Macaca fascicularis: one gene and its partners. The main gene of each other region encodes a partner of the protein of the gene in region 4 in a complex. Links are inferred from orthologs where the notes say so. Each region holds a gene or a part of one and is shown on either strand. Other genes may lie near its edges. The genes, in order: TIMM10, TIMM22, TIMM10B, AGK and TIMM29.

What was found.
Region 1: the proteins of AGK (region 4) and TIMM10 are in contact, whole or in part, in a cryo-EM structure (PDB 7CGP), measured with the Homo sapiens proteins. The link is inferred for Macaca fascicularis from reciprocal best matches to the Homo sapiens genes AGK and TIMM10. Residues at the interface, in NP_060708.1 of Homo sapiens: Phe49, Gly50, Asn51, Gln52, Leu53, Ile54, Pro55, Pro56, Val60, Ser91, Gly92, Met93, Asp94, Val95; in NP_036588.1 of Homo sapiens: Glu40, Glu42, Leu43, Ser44, Lys45, Gly46, Ser48, Arg53.
Region 2: AGK (region 4) and TIMM22 share a complex: the UniProt entries of both Homo sapiens proteins name them as parts of the TIM22 complex. The link is inferred for Macaca fascicularis from reciprocal best matches to the Homo sapiens genes AGK and TIMM22.
Region 3: AGK (region 4) and TIMM10B share a complex: the UniProt entries of both Homo sapiens proteins name them as parts of the TIM22 complex. The link is inferred for Macaca fascicularis from reciprocal best matches to the Homo sapiens genes AGK and TIMM10B.
Region 5: the proteins of AGK (region 4) and TIMM29 are in contact, whole or in part, in a cryo-EM structure (PDB 7CGP), measured with the Homo sapiens proteins. The link is inferred for Macaca fascicularis from reciprocal best matches to the Homo sapiens genes AGK and TIMM29. Residues at the interface, in NP_060708.1 of Homo sapiens: His33, Asn36, Arg39, Arg40, Cys43, Gln44, Gln47, Asn51, Lys82, Pro86, His89, Leu90; in NP_612367.1 of Homo sapiens: Tyr145, Gln146, Cys149, Arg150, Tyr151, Leu152, Gln153, Arg155.

The regions. Positions count from the first base shown.
Region 1 is NC_088388.1:16,082,130-16,086,398, reverse strand, and holds TIMM10 (mitochondrial import inner membrane translocase subunit Tim10), read right to left. Parts: upstream 2,801-4,269; 5' UTR 2,692-2,800; intron 2,328-2,691; 5' UTR 2,223-2,327; coding exon 2,152-2,222; intron 637-2,151; coding exon 435-636; 3' UTR 198-434; downstream 1-197.
Region 2 is NC_088390.1:1,103,396-1,107,454, forward strand, and holds the start of TIMM22 (mitochondrial import inner membrane translocase subunit Tim22), read left to right. Parts: upstream 1-1,251; 5' UTR 1,252-1,276; coding exon 1,277-1,514; intron 1,515-4,059. UniProt on the Homo sapiens protein: Essential core component of the TIM22 complex, a complex that mediates the import and insertion of multi-pass transmembrane proteins into the mitochondrial inner membrane. In the TIM22 complex, it constitutes the voltage-activated and signal-gated channel.
Region 3 is NC_088388.1:59,598,639-59,601,921, reverse strand, and holds TIMM10B (mitochondrial import inner membrane translocase subunit Tim10 B), read left to right. Parts: upstream 1-1,223; 5' UTR 1,224-1,244; coding exon 1,245-1,280; exon of another isoform or gene 1,281-1,387; coding exon of another isoform or gene 1,388-1,390; intron 1,391-1,481; coding exon 1,482-1,577; coding exon of another isoform or gene 1,578-1,589; intron 1,590-1,768; coding exon 1,769-1,945; 3' UTR 1,946-2,779; downstream 2,780-3,283. Other genes in the region: ARFIP2 (arfaptin-2), read right to left, coding at 45-143. UniProt on the Homo sapiens protein: Component of the TIM22 complex, a complex that mediates the import and insertion of multi-pass transmembrane proteins into the mitochondrial inner membrane.
Region 4 is NC_088377.1:183,172,948-183,177,126, forward strand, and holds the start of AGK (acylglycerol kinase, mitochondrial), read left to right. Parts: upstream 1-1,375; 5' UTR 1,376-1,534; intron 1,535-4,179. UniProt on the Homo sapiens protein: Lipid kinase that can phosphorylate both monoacylglycerol and diacylglycerol to form lysophosphatidic acid (LPA) and phosphatidic acid (PA), respectively. Does not phosphorylate sphingosine. Phosphorylates ceramide.
Region 5 is NC_088393.1:11,494,713-11,497,775, forward strand, and holds TIMM29 (mitochondrial import inner membrane translocase subunit Tim29), read left to right. Parts: upstream 1-1,266; 5' UTR 1,267-1,294; coding exon 1,295-1,388; intron 1,389-1,464; coding exon 1,465-2,153; 3' UTR 2,154-2,560; downstream 2,561-3,063. Other genes in the region: protein YIPF2, read right to left, coding at 110-193, 276-436, 853-883. UniProt on the Homo sapiens protein: Component of the TIM22 complex, a complex that mediates the import and insertion of multi-pass transmembrane proteins into the mitochondrial inner membrane.

The DNA of each region.
Region 1 (4,269 bases), on a different chromosome or scaffold from region 4:
TTGCCATGTTGGCCAGGTGGTCTTGAACTCCTGACCTCAAGTGATCCACCCACTTCAGCCTCCCAAAGTGCTGGGATTACAGGCGTGAGCCACTGTGCCTGGCCTGTCCTACTCTTAAACACTACATTAGTCTCCCTCTGCTGGTAGGGGCTGTGTCTGTTTACTCTCAAATGCCACGCACACTGCTTTGCACATAGTAGGTGTCAACAAACTTGTTTTAATATATATATACATACATACATACATACACACAGTCACATTCCAGTGTGACAAATACTCCTTCACCAGGGGACAGCGCTACCACTCCAGGATCTTGAAGACTCGCTACAGAGAGCTTAGGCCTGGCAGTCCTCACAGATGACACCCAACAGGGAGCACTTTTATTAAAGTGGGAAGGGGTGGGGTGTACCCCAGGGTGTATGCTGACACGGACCTCACGCGGGCCCAGAGCTCTGCTGCACCCTCTTCATCAGCTCTTCATCCTGCATAGACAACTCTGTCAACTTTTTGCCCATTCGCTCATGGATGTCCAAGTACTTAGAGACACATCGGTCCAGGCACACAGACTCGCCCTTGGAGAGCTCTGCTTCCTTGTAGTGAGGAGGTACACACTTCCGGTGGCAGGCACTGGTCATTCTGGAGGGAGGGAGGGGCAAGGTCATGTCAGCAGCATCCTGTGACATCCCAGGAACCCTCGACCATTCCAGCCCTGCTATATTGATGTCACCTTCCCCAAGAAAGCAGTGTAAATCCTCAGTTTACACCTCAACCACTGGAAGGTCCTTGCAAGTAGGAAACTTGCCTGAGCCCATGTATATGACTAATTAAGTAGAAACAATTTGTTAAGGACTGGCTATGTGCCAGGCATCATGCTAAGTGCTTTACCTGCATTCTGTTACGCAATGCTTACAATTACCCCAAGAGATACTTATCCCCATTTTACAGACGAGAAAATTAAGGCAAACAGAGGCTCAGTAATTTTTTTTTTTTTTTTTTTTTTTGAGACGGAGTCTCGCTCTGTCGCCCAGACTGGAGTGCAGTGGCGCGATCTCGGCTCACTGCAAGCTCCGCCTCCCGGGTTCACGCCATTCTCCTGCCTCAGCCTCCCAAGTAGCTGGGACTACAGGCGCCCGCCACCACGCCCAGCTAATTTCTTTTTGTATTTTTAGTAGAGACGGGGTTTCACCGTGTTAGCCAGGATGGTCTCGATCTCCTGACCTCGTGATCCACCCGCCTCGGCCTCCCAAAGTGCTGGGATTACAGGCTTGAGCCACCGCGCCCGGCCGAGGCTCAGTAATTTTCTAAGAATCACATAGAGCTGAGATATGAACCCAGGTCATCTGACCTCACAGTCTACACTTAACAATCTTTCTAATTTATAGTCGTCAGGATAAACCAATCAAGAGAGCTTAAGCCAATAAAAATAGCAGACATTTCACTGTTACTAAGTGTTGGGCTTGAGGCTAAGGACTTTCATATATTTTTAGATTTAATATTTATGATGCCCTATGAGGTAGGTATCATTATGTCTTTTTCATAATGAGGAAACCAATTGTCAAACAGTGCAAGTAACATGTCCAAGTATACTGCTGGTGATTGGTGGAGCCAGGATTTGTTCCCAAATGTGCCAAATGGTTATGAGCACTAGTTGCAGAACCAGACTGAGGTGCTAGTTCTGGCATTGTTACCCACCAGCTGCGGACCCTAAGGAAGTTACTTAACCTCTAGCAGCATCAATTTCCTCATTTTAAGATGGGACTAATAAAATTAACCCACTGGATTATTTTGAAGATTAACAAGAGCCTGACACAGAATAAAGGGTTTTAAAATGTTAACTACTAAATGGGCTGGCTATGTGCTATTTATCAAGAGGCAAATACTCAGCTTTTCTTGGAACCTAACCAGAGCCTGGATTGGAGTTTCTCTTCCTGCTTGGCTCCTGCATTGCCAGTTCCATCCCCATCTAAATGCCCAACTCATTCTAGTGACTGCGTCTACATTAGGATCAACCTTGGAGGTGCGTATGGGGAGGGTAAGCATGGGCCTCAGGCTCCCCTACATTCAGGAAGGAATTTGTTGTAAGTCATTCACCTTCGATATGGGTGACCAAGACTTATTTTCCAAGACAGGGTAGAACATAGTTCTCTTTACCTGTTGTACATATCGGCCATCATCTCCACCTCCAGCTCCGCAGCCAGCTGTTGGGCCCTGAGAGGATCCATCTCAGCCTAGCACCGTGGAAGGTATCTCCTTCTGGCCTCCTAATCCTGGGAGCAGACATCACCATCAGCACCCACCGCCGCCGTTCACTCTCCTACCCCTTGGGGCTAGAGGATACAGAGGACTCACAGGGCGCCAGACCACCACGGGCCACTAACCTCAGTAAGATTAACCACCCCATTTCACGGATGTGGAAACTGAGGCCTCGCCCAAGGTCGCACAGGACGTCCATGGCGAGCCTGGAAATCGAGCCCCGGATCTCTGATGCCCCAGTCCCTGGAGGTCACCTCTATTCAGAAGATCGAGGACCGAGGCAGAACGCTCTAACCCATAAGCCTGAACCTCCAGGGCCCTGGGAATGAGATCGTACGCTGAACACAGGCGACCGGGACGCAGCCTAAAGGCTGCGCCTCTGAAATGGCGACGCCATAATCAGAGCCACATTGAATTCAGAGGTCATGGGTCACTCACCACTGCCTGGGACGGATCGCAATGCTCACGGAGACCCCAACTTCTGACAAAAACTATAACGTTACCCGCCTCTCCAGAAGGCTCCAGCGGAAGCACGTGGGTTACTTCCGGGAGGGAAGTCCCGCCTCTCCTTTGATTCAAACTCGCTTCCGGAACTAAATACCAACGAGACGGCGCCGGGAACTCGGCGATCCTAGAGAGGGAGCGGCCGGCGCCGGGCGAAGAGGAAGGCGACTTGCCAGTGCTAGAGGGGACGCCAAAGTACCATAGAGGCTTGGGCGGGGTGCAGAGCGTCTGCAGCCCGCTTACAATTCAAGTCCCTTGGGATGTCACAGAGCCGCTTCAGTTTATTGGTTCTGTAGGAAGAGGCGTGGTGACAGATATCAGTGAATCTCATCCCAGTTCCGGACAGCCGACTCCTGAGCGTAAATCAGGCGTGGAGAAGGAAGAACGCCCCCAAACAGCGATTCTGTTTTTGTTTCGCGTTAAAATCCCTGGAACGTTTTTAAACGTCCCAGTGCCCAGGACTCACCTCATTTCAATTAAATCAGAATCTCTGGGAGTAGGACCCAGGCATCAATACAATTTAAAATTCCCCAGGTGATTCGTATGTACAGCCAAATTTGAGAAGCAGTGCTCCATGGGACGTTGTGCGATTACTACTGTGTGTAGGTCACACTAAGCCCCTTCTGGTGTTGCAACGATAAGCGAGATAGGCTTCCTGCTCGTAGAAAGACAAGACGTGTAAAATATGTTTTCTTCAACAGTCAGAGGTCCTGAGCCACAAAGAGATTAATAAAAGCAATTTCGGCTGCCACCGAGGCTAATCATGGGTGAGGGAGAAGGAGGGTACTGGTGAACTTTTCAACTTTCAAGACTTAATGTGTTCTTCAAACTGCACCATTCACTCATTCCCCACTAAAAAGAAGGAAACAACACTCAGTCCCTTGATTTGTCACACAATTTCCTAGTAAAATAAATTTACAAGATGTAAATTGATGACGCAAGGGCACATTGCTCATTGGAAAAGGTGGGCTAGACATTTTATATGTGTGGTCATCATATGCTTCCCTAATTGTCCAAGACCATCCTGATTTTAAACAATCGACCTTTCTGCTTTGAAGACTCATCTTTGTCAAACCTTGTGCCCTGATTTTTAAAGATTGAGGTATAATATTCATAAAGTGCATAAAATACACGAATCTCAAGCTTAATTAAATATATATGTGTATATATACATTTGTATAACCACCACCCAGATCAAGATATAAAATACTTCCTGCACCCCAAAAAGTTATCTTGTGTTTCTTCCCCATCAATACTCCCTCTTGAAGTTAACCACTATTCTGACCTCTATCACCATCAATTCGTTTTCCTTGTTCTTGAACTTCATGTAAATGGAATTACACATTATTTTCTATTTTGTGCCTGACGTCTTTAGCTCAATGTACCTGTAAGGTTTCCTCCATATTGTTGTGTGCATCTGTTATTCCTTCTGTTTTATTGCTGTCTAGTGTTTGATTGTATGAGCATGCCACAATTCATTTATCCATTCTCCTGTTGATGGATGTTTGGATT
Region 2 (4,059 bases), on a different chromosome or scaffold from region 4:
TTGTTATTAAAAATTACATTTTATACATTTATAATCAAATTACACTAAAAACAGGTAATGTGTGCTCAAAACTCACCACCTCCTAAAAGTTTTACTACACCGTACTCCTATCTATGCTGTTGAGGTTATTTCCATAGATTGTATCTGTGTGATAGAAACATTGTCTAACCACATACTGCTGTGAGTCTTCCCAATTCTGACTGATGACCTCGCTTGGTAGTTTGAAATCAGCCACTATGGGGATATTGACACCACTCAAGTCAGCAAATGCTATAAGTTAGGATTTTTTTTTTTTTTTTTTTTTTTTAGACCGAGTCTTGCTCTTGTCGCCCAGGCTGGAGCAGGACGGCGCGATCTTGGCTCACTGCAACCTCCACCTCCCGGGTTTAAGTGATTCTCCTGTCTCAGCCTCCCAAGTAACTGAGATTACAGGCGCCTGCCACCATCTGGCTAATTTTTGTATTTTTAGTAGAGATGGGGTCTCCTGCCTCAGCCTCTCAAGTAGCTGGGAATACAGGCGTGCACCACCATGCCCAGCTAATTTTTTTTTTTTTTTTTTTTGTATTTTTAGTAGAGATGGGGTTTCACCATGTTGGTCAGGCTGGTCTCGAACTCCTGACCTCATGATCCACCGCTCTCGGCTCCCAAAGTGCTGGAAGACAGGCGTGAGCCCCCGCGCCCGGTCCAAGCATTTCCAGCACACGTTCACGCGTGTCTACAAAGCGTCCAGCCCTCACCGCACCTTCCGGGACCACAGGATTTAACGCCTCCTCGCCCGATGACAGCAGGAGGCGGAAAGGGCAGCGAGAATGCTCGCGCGCCCCCTCCCGGCGATCCGGAGCACGGCAGCCCCGGAGCGCGCGGCCGCTCCTCGCTCCCCTCAGCAGCGCGTAGGAGCCCCGCGCGGGGCCGAGACGCGAGAGCACGCGCAACGCTTCCTGGGAAATGTAGTTGGATGTCGGATTGGAACTACAAATCTCTGTACTCACCGCGCTGCAGCCCCGACCGTGTGGGCGCTTTCTGGTGAATCTGAATCTCGTTTGTCTGTGACATGGGGAAAGCTGTTCAAGCCCAATTCCATTTTCACAAGAGGCTTTCTTTTTGGAAACACGATAGCGCTGTCGCTGATGCGCGCACGACGTCTCTTGCGGCCGCGGCTTCCTCTTGCTGCGAATCTGCCGTTACAGACGGTGGCTAGTGTCAGGGCTCGCAGCGTGACGCTTGTCGAATCTGCTGCGGGGGGAAGGACGCGAGGGTTGCTTGGGCAGCGACTGTCATGGCGGCGGCCGCCTCCAATGCCGGGGCTTCGGCCCCTGAGGCAGCGGGTTCCGCCGAAGCTCCGCTGCAGTACAGCCTTCTCCTGCAGTACCTGGTGGGTGACAAGCGTCAGCCCCGACTCCTGGAGCCTGGGAGCCTGGGCGGGATCCCAAGTCCAGCCAAGAGTGAGGAGCAGAAGATGATCGAGAAGGTGATGGAAAGCTGTGCCTTCAAGGCTGCGCTGGCCTGCGTGGGAGGTGAGGCCGGGCGAGTGGGATGCTTGGGAGGCTGAGGGCCTGGACGGCAGTGGGGATCTCTGCAGAGAAGACCACGCGCCTGGGAGGCGAGGGACTGCGGGCCTTGACCTTGACCACACCCCCACCTCGTTCCGTGAACGTCACCTCTCCTGCCCCCTCAGCTCAGCTTTCTTGATGAAAATTGCATCAGAAAATTGCTGTGGTTGGGGCCTAAAAGTTATTACATGACATCCTGGCTCACACGGTGAAACCCTGTTTCTACTAGAAATATAAAAAATTAGCCGGGCATGGTGGTGGGCGCCTGTATTCCCAGCTATTCGGAGGCTGAGGCAGGAGAATCGCTTGAGCCCAGGAGGCGGAGGTTGCAGTGAGCCGAGATCGCGCCACTGCACTCCAGCGTGGGCGACAGAGCGAGACTCCATCTCGAAAAGAAAAAAGTGATTACATGGGTGACTTCATTCATCCGTTCATTCCCTTGAATTCGCTCATTCTCTTAAATCCTTCAACAAATCGTTCCTAAGCAACTATCACGTGCCAGGAGAGAGACAAGAGCCTGGTCTTCACGGGGCCGTATTATACTATGTGGAGAAGAATGTCGAGCAGGAACTCTGCAGAGGAATGATGCAGACATATGGAAATGCACATGCAGACGGCGCTAGGGCAGCGGTTGCTTGAGGTTTGGAAAACTGAAAGACCACTGTGACTAGACAGCAGCGAGCAAGGAGACACGAAGTCTGCACTTGTCCTTCTACGTTTCCCTTAAGCTTTTTGGAGATTTGAGAATGTACGGTATTCCTTCTGTGTGCAGGGTAAATAGGTTGGCTACATTTGCAGATGAGTTTAAGTCTCACTGAGAATGAAAGACATTTAAGAAATGAATGTAGTGAGAATGTCAATGAAAACAAGTGAAGTAGGAATAAAGGTCTTTTTTTGTTGTTGAGTAAGACCATAGGTGAGACTGGAGCTGCGTCTTGAAGGATTGAGAAAATACAGGTAGGCAGAGTGGGTGCGGTGGCTCATTCCTGTATAATCCCAGCTCTTTGGGAGGCTGAGGCAGGTGGATCGCTTGATCCCAGGAGTTCAAGACCAGCCTGGCCAATATAGCGAAACCCCATCTCTACGAAAAATACAAAAATTAGCTGGTATGCACCTGAGAGCCCAGCTACTCGGGAGCCTGAGGCAGGAGGATCTCTTGAGCCCAGATGGTTGAGGCTGCAGTGAGCTGTGATTGAGTTACCGCACTCCAGCCTGGGTGACAGAGCAAGATCCTGTCTCAAAAAAAAAAAAAAAAAAAAAAAAAAAAAAAAAGGACTGGGCACATGGCTCATGCCTGTAATCCCAACACTTTGGGAGGCCAAGGCAGGCGGATCACGAGGTCAAGAGGTCAAGACCATCCTAGCCAACATGGTGAAACCCCGTCTCTACTAAAAATACAAAAATTAGCTGGGCATGGTGGTGTGTGCCTGTAATCCCAGCTACTCGGGAGGCTGAGGCAGAAGAATGGCTTGAAACCAGGAGGTGGAGGTTGCAGTGAGCCAAGATCACGCCATTGCACTCCAGCCTGGCAACAGAGACTCCATCTCAAAAAAAAAGGAAGAAAATACACTTAGGCAAAGGAGAAATGTTATTTCAAGTTTGGGGTTGAGTCGGGGGGAGATTTGGGCGTTTCGCTTACAGGCATTAGGGCAGTAGTTGATGTTTTTTACAAAGAGTAACAAGAGGTAATGAACATGGTGAATTACGATAGAGTCTGGTGAAGGAAAGAAAAATCTGTAGATGAGAAGGCCAGAGAGGAAGTTTGCGAGACTGAAGCTTCATGAGGGCATGGACTGGGTGTTTGCTCCTCACTCCGCCTGACCCTAATAAATCACTGATAGAGTTGTTGAAAGGATGAATGGGGTCTTCATAGTGCTCCACAGTTGAAGTGATGAAGGCCCCGGACTGGGGTGGTAATTGTGGACGTAGGCAGGGATGGACTTGACTTGCAAAAGTAGGATGAAAGATTTTGCCATGTTTCATGACTGACTGGTTATAGGAGGAAGTAAAGAAGCCGTCAGAGGTGCTCCTAGTGTTTGGAGATGGCATGACTGGAAGGAAGGAGCTGTAGGCAGGAAAGTCTGGAGGGGAGGTGCCCATGATTGTATTGAACTCATATTGACCATGAAGCCATGAGAGGGCATCCACATGGACAGGTCCAGCAGGCTCAGGAAGGTCAGATGTGGAAAACAGTGTGGGATTTGCCATTAGGTAGCTGTGTGGCCTTGGGAGAAGTTGCTTAACCTCTCTGAGCCTCAGTTTATCTATAGAAAGGAGAGGCTAATAGCATCTGTCTCACTGGATTATTGTGAAGAATGAATGAGGCTGTGGCATATCTGGCATGTGGTGCTCAGTAAAGCATTACTGTGAATGTCACAGTGGCCAAGAGAGTGATTTGCAAAGTGGATAGCTGAACTTGAGGGTGACTACTTTACATATGAGAGTGTAGAGAGAATAAGAGGGTTAAAGATGGAATCTTGAGAAATGTTAGGGAAGGGAAGAAGAAATC
Region 3 (3,283 bases), on a different chromosome or scaffold from region 4:
TGGATTCCTAAATTGAAACAATTAGAAGAATCAAACAGAAGCACCTGCTCCAGCCCATCATCTTCAGGAAGCTGCCTGGCTTCACCGTTCCCGTGGATAGGGATCTCCATTGTGGCTGCCTTCCCTAGGATCCCGTCCGTCATGGCTAGGAAAGGTATTGGAGTAAAACTCTCCACCCCAGCACCCTGCAAAGCCCAACACAGAAGTTCTGGGCACTGGCCAGCACTCTAGAAGAAGGAAGCCTCCTCTGTCATTTCTTTAAAGGCTGTCCCAGGGTTTGAGTGTCCCAGCGTTTGGTCATCATTCCTTTCTTCAGGTATATGTATTTCTCCCCTCCAAAATGCACATTTGTACACAGGCACACCAAAGCACGGTGTCTTCTCACAAGCCCCCAACCTCACCAGGCCTCTGGTGATTATTCTACACTCATTCAGTCATTCAGCAGACATTTAGTGAGTGCCTACTCTGTGTCAGGTACTATTTGTGACAATGAAAATACAACAGTGAAGAGGGAAAGTAGCTCTCTTAGAACTTATCTCCATGCAGGCGTGTTTATGCTGAGCAGGAGATGGACCCTTTCCAGGGCTCAGGTCTTCACCCCCCATTCAGGTTTGTTCTCCATTGCTTGGCCTTTCTCACTCCTTTAGTGTTTCTTCCCCCTTCCTTCAGGGGGTCTCCCCTCCTCCGTCTCATACAACTCCTCTTCCTTGGGCCCTCCCCACCAGGCCTTAGTTAGATCAGTTGGTGTATGTTCCCAGTCTCTGGCAAAAGCCTGTCTTTACCAGGATATCGGTGATCCCTTCCACAGTCAGTCTCCCAGGTATGTGAGTCCCCGCCCCCACCCCCATACACCTGGACATCAGGTGTGTCCTCATTCTTCCCCAGGGCTCGGGGCATCTTGCCCTCTGGACAGGTTTGTGCGTTCAACTTCCCGTCGCCCAAGCATGTCCCTCTCACCTCGGGCCGGGCCGCTCTTCCCCTCAGGGCGCCAGGCCCGGGCCGCGCGGGGACCTCGGGCTCCAGTTCCCGTCGCGATCCTAGCAGCAGGTCAGGGACTCGGCGGAAGTGACGTCCTCTCCGGGCAGAAGAAGCCGGCCACGTCGCAGATTATAAGGGCGGAAGTGACGTCGAAGCCGGGGCAGGGCGATACTCTAGCTTGGTTCTCGAGAGCAGCGAGAGGTTACTTCCGGGGCGGCACCGAGAAGCTGAAAAGGAAGTGGCGTAGAGCATGCGCCGGTGGCGTGATGGAGCAGCAGCAGCAGCAACAGCAACTGAGAAACGTGAGTGAGAACTAAGTCGTTTCGGGGCCAGACGTTCAGCTCGCATTCCTGCACACATCGCGGAAACCCCATAGAGCCAGGGATCTGAGGGCTGGAAACTTCGGGTTATGGTGCGCGGGCCTGGGAAACTTTGGGCGGCGCGACCTTGAGTAGAAGTGTGGGGCACATATCGCTGAGTTCGTGGTCCCGGTTTTCTCCCAGCTGCGTGACTTCCTGTTGGTCTACAATCGGATGACAGAACTCTGCTTCCAGCGTTGTGTGCCCAGCTTGCACCACCGAGCTCTGGACGCTGAGGAGGTGGGGAACTGTGTAAGGAGGTTACGCTGCAAACAGAGTTTAGCGGTAGACTGCTTCCCTCCTCACCCCACTTCCCCTACCTCTGGTCCTGGCCTTCCCAGACCCTCACCCCTAGGCTGTGCATGGGGAAGGACGGAGGCGGGCCCGACAGGACACCTTTGTCCTCCGCTTAAACCCTATCTTCCTTCTAGGAGGCCTGTCTGCACAGCTGTGCTGGGAAGCTGATCCATTCCAACCACCGCCTCATGGCCGCTTACGTGCAGCTCATGCCTGCCCTGGTACAGCGCCGCATCGCAGACTACGAGGCTGTCTCGGCTGTGCCAGGCGTTGCTGCTGAGCAGCCTGGGGTCTCTCCATCAGGCAGCTAGCCATCTCCAACCCCAGGAGGGAAGGCCCTGGATGGACCCTCAGATTGAAGGACCCAGTGGACCTTAGGGTTGGTGAATCCTAAACGGAGAGAATTCGAGGTCGCCTGAAAACTGGCTGTCCTTGCTCCTTTTCCTGGAGCCAATATACTCGCTTTTTACTCTGTTTGATTTATATTCTGGGCAAGGAAGCTTTGCATAGTTTATTGGCATAATCCTTTGTTCTGTCATTTAGCCATATCTGCTGGCTTCAGCCCTGGCAGCTGATAAGTTGTCTTCTATATGTAGAAGGAAAACCTGAGTATTTGCAGGCATCTGGTTAAAGCAGGGTCTGTGTGTACAATTTTAAAATGAGTAATATGTCAGGCTTTATCTTAGTTTACAACAAAACTACAAGTAAGCGGTATTAGCCTCACTAAATAGATGAGGAAGCAAGATTCCAGAATGTACCAGAAGGCCATTTGATACAAAAGGAGATTGGTTCCTGCCCAGATGACAGAAAATGGGAGCTCTGTCTAGTTGTCCTTAAGTCTGACTGACTTCAATGGCTTATAACCGTGAACCAAGTATTTGTTGGTTCATAACTGTTGTTTTGTGAACTATGTCTTATATGTCTAGAATTCTGCTGGATCTAGGGAAAGGAGAAGCTGTCGAAGTACAACGGATCAAAAAACCACAGGGCTTTTGGGCACTGCCTCCTTGAGAAGTTAGTGGCCACAGAAGAGAGATGAAACCTGTAAGAAGTCTGGAGTCTTGGAACTTCAGCCATTTCCCCAGGTTGTTACTTTCTTAGTTTGTACAGTCTTCTCAGGATGAGAAGTAAAACCTTTGAACCAAGGTCTGTGTGCTTGTCTTACGGGCAATCGGGAAGGGAGAAAGTTGGGGACCGTATTCTGCAATACAGCGAAATCTGAGGAAGAAAAACTGAAGGGGGAAGTAGATGGCAATGGTTATGATAAAAAGGATAAAACGAAATCTTCGGGACTTCCTTAATGCTACCTTAATGTTTCACTGCTTGTCTAGAATCTCCTAATTCCAGCTTTCCATCATCTGCCCCACATTGGTCTCATTGAGTACAATCCGTGATTTCTTTTTTTTTTTTTTTTTTTTTTTTTTTTTGAGACGGAGTCTCACTCTGTCGCCCAGGCTGGAGTGCAGTGGCCGGATCTCAGCTCACTGCAAGCTCCGCCTCCCGGGTTCCCGCCATTCTCCTGCCTCAGCCTCCCGAGTAGCTGGGACTACAGGCACCCGCCACCTCGCCCAGCTAGTTTTTTGTATTTTTTAGTAGAGACGGGGGTTTCACCGTGTTAGCCAGGACGGTCTCGATCTCCTGACCTCGAG
Region 4 (4,179 bases):
GTCTGCGACGCGTGGAGCGACAGCGCTGCGCCAGCCTCGTGGCCCACACCTGCGGCTTGATGTGTTTCTTAAAGGGCCCTTCCCTCTTTCCCGCTGCAGCTGACCTCTCTTCAGCCTCCTCGCTCACCTTAGTTTCACCTTATCCACGTTCTTGCGCTCTCAGTGTTTGTCCCCTACAACCCCTTTCCTTCCTGTACTGACTTTCACCATTACCTTCTCTTCTTTCCTCTCATTTACATGTCTGTTTTTATCTTCACTGTTTAGCTGGGGTCTCACCCTTACCCCTGTCCCCATTAACCCAGCCTTTTCCCTCCTTTTCTTCTCAATGTTTTTGAACCCCTTTTCCTCAGCTAGCCATGAGTAACACTTGACAGCGGTAGAACCTGGCTTACTTCTGGAACTAGAAGGAGATCCTCGAAATAACTAAATTTAGGACACACTTCGCCGACATTAAACAGAGCACAGGTAATGTACTTAAACCTTTCCTGATGACTCAGGTGGACAGTGTTCAGGATGAACTGTGGTGGGAGGAACTTCATGGATTGACTACACTTTGAGGTCAGCATGGTTGGGTTCTCAAATTGCAGAATCAGCAGCTTTATCCTTTTGATTCACCAGGAGCAATCACACATTGTAGAGTCACACTATAACATTCGCAAGAGAACAAAGACAAAACTAGAGTGTCAGTGTATTGATTTATTTGGGGGGATAAACTGTTAGTGGTAGAGATGGGCAAGATGCTCACCAATCCTGTTTCTTCTGCCTGGGCACATAGGGAGACTATATTCCTCAGCTTCACTTGCAGTTAGGTGAAGCAATGTGATTGAGTTCTACCCAAGTGAATGTGGGCAGAAGTGATATATACCAGTTGTAGATATAGCTAAAAAATGTCTCAAATGCTGGAAGCAAAGGATTTTGCAATGGAGGAGAAACACAATAGAAGAATCCTGGATCCATGAGTCACCACATGGAAGAGAGCCACCAGGAGAGATGCCTGATTCACTCTGGATTATCATGTGGACAAGAAATAAAATGTTATTATGTTAAGACACTGAGCTTTAGAGATTGTTTATAAGTTAGCATCAGTATATTTTTACAGGGGAAAAATAACTTGTTTCCACTGTTCCAAATACCCATTTCCCATACCAAGGTAGATAAAAAACCTTGTTGTCAGAGGCTTGCTTGGTGAGCTTGAAATAGAACAAAGCCCTGAGAGTTAGTTTATTTAACTGCAATTCAACTTAAGCAAGAATGTTTGCTTTAGCGTAGAATACTGGAAAAAAGTTGATGATGCAAGTAAGGTGAGAGCGGCATTTAAATGGTCATTTTTGAAACGTGGGGTACCATCTAACTACCTGTTCATCTTTTGATTTAGGAGAAAAGAGGAGCATGAGAACCCAGAGGAAATTGTACCTATTCAGAAGTGTGGAGTGAGGATAGGAGTGCCCAGATTCAAAGGCATCATGAAGTGTCATGACAAGATAGAAAAGACTTTGAGCTGGCCAAGAAGGAATTGGACAAAATTATGAGTGAGGTAGGTGTTAGTTAAGTTCCAGGCACACATATGGTTTGCCATCTCGTCAACATCTCCATGTGAATGCCTAATCAGTGTTAACAGAAAAACTTTTGACAAATTAAATTTAACAGAGTTTATTTGAGCAAAGAATGATTCATGAGTTGGGCAGCACTCAGAACTAGAAGAGGTTTGGAGACTGCCCTGCAAAGTGGGTAGTGAGTACTTATAGACAGAAAATGGAAGTGAAGTACAGAAATAGCTTGATTGGTTACAGCTAGGTGTTTGCATTATTTGGACATGGTCTGATCAGTTGGCTGCCCATGATTAAAGCTTAGCTGCTTGTATTGGCTAAGATTGGGCTATCTGTTACAAAATATATACTCCTAAATTAGGTTTTCAGTTTGTTTACTTACTGAGTTAGCTTGCAGTTTGCTACATAGTGAGTCAAAGTAGAGAAACAGCCTCAGGCAAATGGCCTCCTGCTTATTTAATTTAATACAGGCCTTCCAAATCTAGCAAGTCCAAAACTTCCTCCCAAAGCCCCTCCCATCTCAATAAACATTTATTCTATTTTTCCAATTTCTTGGGCCAGAAAACATAAAGCTTGTCTTAACTCATCTCTTTTTCTCATGCTCCACGTTAAGTCCATTAGCAAATTCTGTATGCCTTACCTTCAAAATATGTCCAGAAATCAGCTACCTCTACCATCAGGCTGTGCCACTTTGTTCCAAGTGACAAACTTATCTTCCCTATGGTGGTGCAAAGGTCTCCTAATTGCCCTCCCTGCTTCCAGCCTTGCTTCCCTACTATCTATTTGCAGTCACAACATTTTTATTTTAAAATGGAAATCAGATTACATTAATCAAACTCTCCAAATGATTGCCATCTTACCAAAAATGAAATCCCAAGTTCTTATTGTGGTCTCCATGATCTGTGCTCCTGCTTCATGAGAAGAGGAACTTAGTCTGTTTTGTTCTGTTTTGTTTACTGCTGTGTTCCCAGCAAGAATGTTGTCTGGCACACATTAGGTATTTACTAAGTATTTATTGAATGATGGATGTAGAGATAGAGACTAGGAGGGAAAAAAAAAAAGGAAAGAATATTTGAGACCATAGTCACAAGCATACATGGCATGGATTTAATGACCTTTGGTGGTGATAGCTCAAATGCTACAACATGAGAATGTCACCACTGTATAAGGAAGATCTTGGAACACACTCAGTTTCCTATTTTTTATGAAAAATATGAGGCTTTCTCCAATGGAAATGAGGAAGACAGTTAATTCCACAAGCATCTTGGATTCTTGACTTTTTATCTAAAGTTTTTTTTTATTTTTATTTTTTGGAGACAGGGTCTTACTCTGTGGCCCAGGCTGAAGTGCAGTCGCGTGATCTCAGCTCACTGCAACCTCTGCCTCCTGGTTTCAAGCAATTCTCATGTCTCAGCCTCCTGAGTAGCTTGGACTACAGGCACACACCACCACACCTGGCTAATTTTTTGTATTTTTAGTAGAGACGGGGTTTCACCGTATTGGCCAGGCTGGTCTCAAACTCCTGACCTCGGGTGATCCACCAGCCTTGGCCTCCCAAAGTGCTGGGATTATAGGCATGAGTCACCATGCCTGGCCTTATAGAAAGTATTTTAAATCCTCATTTATAACATCATTCATAAATTCTTTTAATTTAGAAAGTTCTACTAAAAAGTGGAAGACATGTACCACTATGTAGCTTAATGTGCATATGTCAAGGGCATTGTATATTCAGATACTGTATTTCCTTTGATAGATGCAAACTTGCAGGTGGATTTTAATGAATAAGCATAACCAAAAATATGGAACATCGCTGTAAATCTGTTCTATTGGATTTGAGGAGTCCCCCTGAGCTCATTTCCTCATTGTCTCTTGTTTTCCTTGACACACCATCCCTGTGGGTAGTGATTCAGGTCTCACCTCTGCTTTATGTCATCCTTCAGGTTCTAGCTTAAATGTCTCTTCTCAGAGAAACCATCCTTGACCACCATCTAAAGTAGGCAGCCTCTACCTGGTAATTCTCCTTCATAGAGTCCTTTTGTTTTCCTTTGTGGCACTTATCAGTGATCTGTAATCACATATTGATCTCTTGCCATTTATTCATTGTTGCCTATCTTCCCAGAGTGTGAGCCCCTTGAGGTCAAGACCATGTCTATTTTTGCCATAATGGGATGCCTAGTGCTTGACTTAAGTGGATACTCCATAGAAGACACTGCATAGGTATTCAGTGGATACAAGAGTGAAACAGTGAATGAAGGAAGGTGGGCCTGGGCCAAGGAGCTGGGTGGCCAAGGTCAAGTTTAGACCATCAGCCCTACTCAGGACAAACGTCCTGACTCCTGCTTGGAGGCTTCCTCCCAGTCCTGCTCTGTGCTTCCCACAGCTGTTGATCATCTTACTGACAGGCAGACTCAGCCAAGAAAGTAGAAAGAGGAAAAGAAAAATGAGGCACAGGAGGGTAGAATGGAAAATCTCAGCTCTTTTAGCAGCCGCTCTTCCTTATTTCTTGCTAGAGTATTGGCATCTGTAAAAGCCTTGGCTGTCCTCCCCAACCTCCCCACTCAATCACAAACCGCAGCACCTAGAAAAAAATAAAGGCAAAAATCAATGTGCTAAATCTCAGTTGGGCTCAGTA
Region 5 (3,063 bases), on a different chromosome or scaffold from region 4:
ACAGTTCCTTCACCCGCACTCGCCATCACCAGCACCCTGCCCAGGGAAAGTGTGGCTGAACCCTGAGCATAACTCTGAGCCCCACCTCACCTGCCTCCCCAGGCCTGACCTGTGAGGTGTCCACGTCAAAGAAGCTCTGATAGTAGCTGAAGGTCCAGAATCCGGGCTGCTGCTGCTGCTTCTCCTGCAGGAGCTGCACATTGCGGGCATTCAGCGCCTGCCCCGACAGCGTGGATCAGCTGGGAGCTGCACAGAGGCAGGACACAGGGACTCACCGCGGCCTTGTCACTCTCCTCCTCCACCTCATCCTCGGCTCCATAGCTGCTACCTGAGCCCACGGCCACAGCCACGTGCCCTTGTGGGGTCAGCTGATCACTTCTGCTGGTTGTGGCTGCATCTGGGGTCTCAGCCAGAAGATTAGTGGCCTCCTCGAATTCTGTGGAGCAGGGACATGGGACACACGCACGCTTGAGGGGTGGAAAGAATTCGACTGGGCTCCAGCCAAGTCAATGCTCATCTGGGGGCGGAGGCTCTGCTAAGCCACTGATCTCCCCCAAGGTGGGGGGCCCAACTTCCTCAGTTTGGAGGCATCCGGAGGGCGTCTGTTCCCTTCCTCCTAAAGTGGAACTGCAACTTAGGGTTGGCCCTGGGATGGGGTCAGGGTCTGGAGACATGAGGCTCGGGTTTGAGGTCTGAGTTCAGGGCGGGGGCGGGGTTCGGGTCAGAGATGGGTCTCCCTCCTGGGTCAGGGTTCACAGCCGCCTAGGGGTAGAGAAGTTGGAAGCCGCATGGGGGGTAGGTTCTGGCAAGGGGCGGGAGTAGGAGATCCGGCCTCGTCGGGGCCGCACTCACCGTGGAAGGTCAGCTCGTCAGCCGATGCCATGGTCGTTCAGGGGCGTCTCCGCATCCCTCGCTGAGGACAGAGACCGGTCAGGCACGCTCCCCCCACGCCCCCACGCCGGTCCCTCGGCCCCCAGCCCTACCTGGCGGCCAGCTGCACCCACGGAAGCTTGAACTCGTCGCCCCGTCGCCACAGGTGCGCTCCGCCCTCCTCACCGGAGGCCACCTGGGCCGGCGTGGCTGGGGCTCTCTGCGACTGCGCAGCTGGCCTACCCGTCAGAATCTACCCGACTCGGACCGGACAGCAACATCCGGCGCCGGTCCTCTTTCTATCCTTTCCCGCTGGGAAGCCACTTCCGGTAAAGTTGGCGCTTGCGCAGAAGCGCCTCCCGGGCTTTTAACTTCGGGTATCAAGAGTTTCTTTTCGGAGCAAGGACCCCCAAGACGGAAAAGGATGGCCGCCGCGGCTCTGAGGAGATTTTGGTCCCGGCGCCGCGCAGAGGCGGGCGACGCTGCAGCGGCGAAGCCGGGAGTGTGGGCGCGGCTGGGTGAGTAGCGGCGGAAGGCGGCAGGGTGAGTGGCCGCCGCTGCCAGATCACTCTTACCGCGCTCCTCTCCCCTCAGGGTCCTGGGCCCGCGCGCTGCTCCGGGACTACGCCGAGGCCTGCAGGGACGCGGCGGCGGAGGCTAGTGCCCGGCCGGGGCGCGCGGCCGTGTATGTGGGGCTGCTGGGCGGCGCGGCGGCCTGCTTCACGCTGGCGCCTAGCGAGAGTGCTTTCGAGGAGGCGCTGCTGGAGGCGTCGGGGACCCTCCTGCTGCTGGCGCCGGCCACCCGCAACCGCGAGTCCGAAGCCTTCGTGCAGCGGCTGCTCTGGCTGCGGGGCCGTGGCCGCCTGCGCCACGTCAACCTAGGGCTCTGCTCCCTGGTGTACGAGGCGCCCTTCGACGCCCAGGCCAGCCTCTACCAGGCGCGCTGCCGCTACCTGCAGCCCCGCTGGACCGACTTCCCCGGCCGGGTCCTGGACGTGGGCTTCGTGGGTCGCTGGTGGGTGCTGGGGGCCCGGATGCGCGACTGCGACATCAACGACGACGAATTCCTGCACCTGCCGGCGCATTTGCGGGTGGTCGGGCCCCAGCAGCTGCATTCCGAGACCAACGAGCGGCTCTTCGATGAGAAGTACAAGCCTGTCGTGCTCACCGACGATCAGGTGGACCAGGCGCTGTGGGAGGAGCAGGTCTTGCAGAAGGAAAAAAAGGACAGGCTCGCCCTGAGCCAGGCCCACTCGCTGGTGCAGGCGGAGGCCCCGAGATGAAACCCGGAGGCCCCCGAGTCCTGGCAAACTGCTTGCCTGGGGTAGTGCAGCTGTGAGTGTGCCTCACCTGCAGAACAACTGAGACAGATGATGTGCAAAGTGTTTTCTCACTGGATTTGCGCAAGTTTGGGGAGCCTTTCTGCCCCCCGTCTTTGTTCTTTATAAGCTGAAGCTAATTCCGAGCCACCTTGGTCCAGGAGTTGGGACAGCAGAACGACTTGACACATGTTCATCACTGGCAGAGCTGGTCATGAGCCTTTTATATAAGCCTTTTTCATTGGGCCTCAGAGGCCCTCCTTAAGGAGGTACCACAGTGGTCAGGTGACTTGCAAACTCTTCTAAGACCACTTAGATTCTCTTTTTAAAGTTTGGGTTGTGGCCTGGCGTGGTGAGGCACGTCTGTAATCCCAGCATTTTCCAAATTGAGGCAACAGGATCGCTTGAGGCCAGCCCGAGTAACATAGCAAGACTCCGACGCTACAAAAAAAGAATAATAATTAACTAAATAAAATTTGAGCTGAAATGTTTTTATTCTGTGATCTGTTCTCTTTCGTTTTGTTTTGTTTTCCTTTTTTTGTTTTTGTTTTTTGTTTTGTTTTGTTTTGTTTTGTTTTTTTTTTTTTTTTTTTTTTTTTTTTTTTTTTTTGAGACGGAGTCTCACGCTGTTGCCCAGGCTGGAGTGCAGTGGCGCCATCTCGGCTCACTGCAAGCTCCGCCTCCTGGGTTCACGCCATTCTCCTGCCTCAGCCTCCTGAGTAGCTAGGACTACAGGCGCCCGCCACCGCGCCCGGCTAATTTTTTTGTATTTTTAGTAGAGACGGGGTTTCACTGTGGTCTCGATCTCCTGACCTTGTGATCCGCCCGCCTCGGCCTCCCAAAGTGCTGGGATTACAGGCTGTCTCGCTCTGTC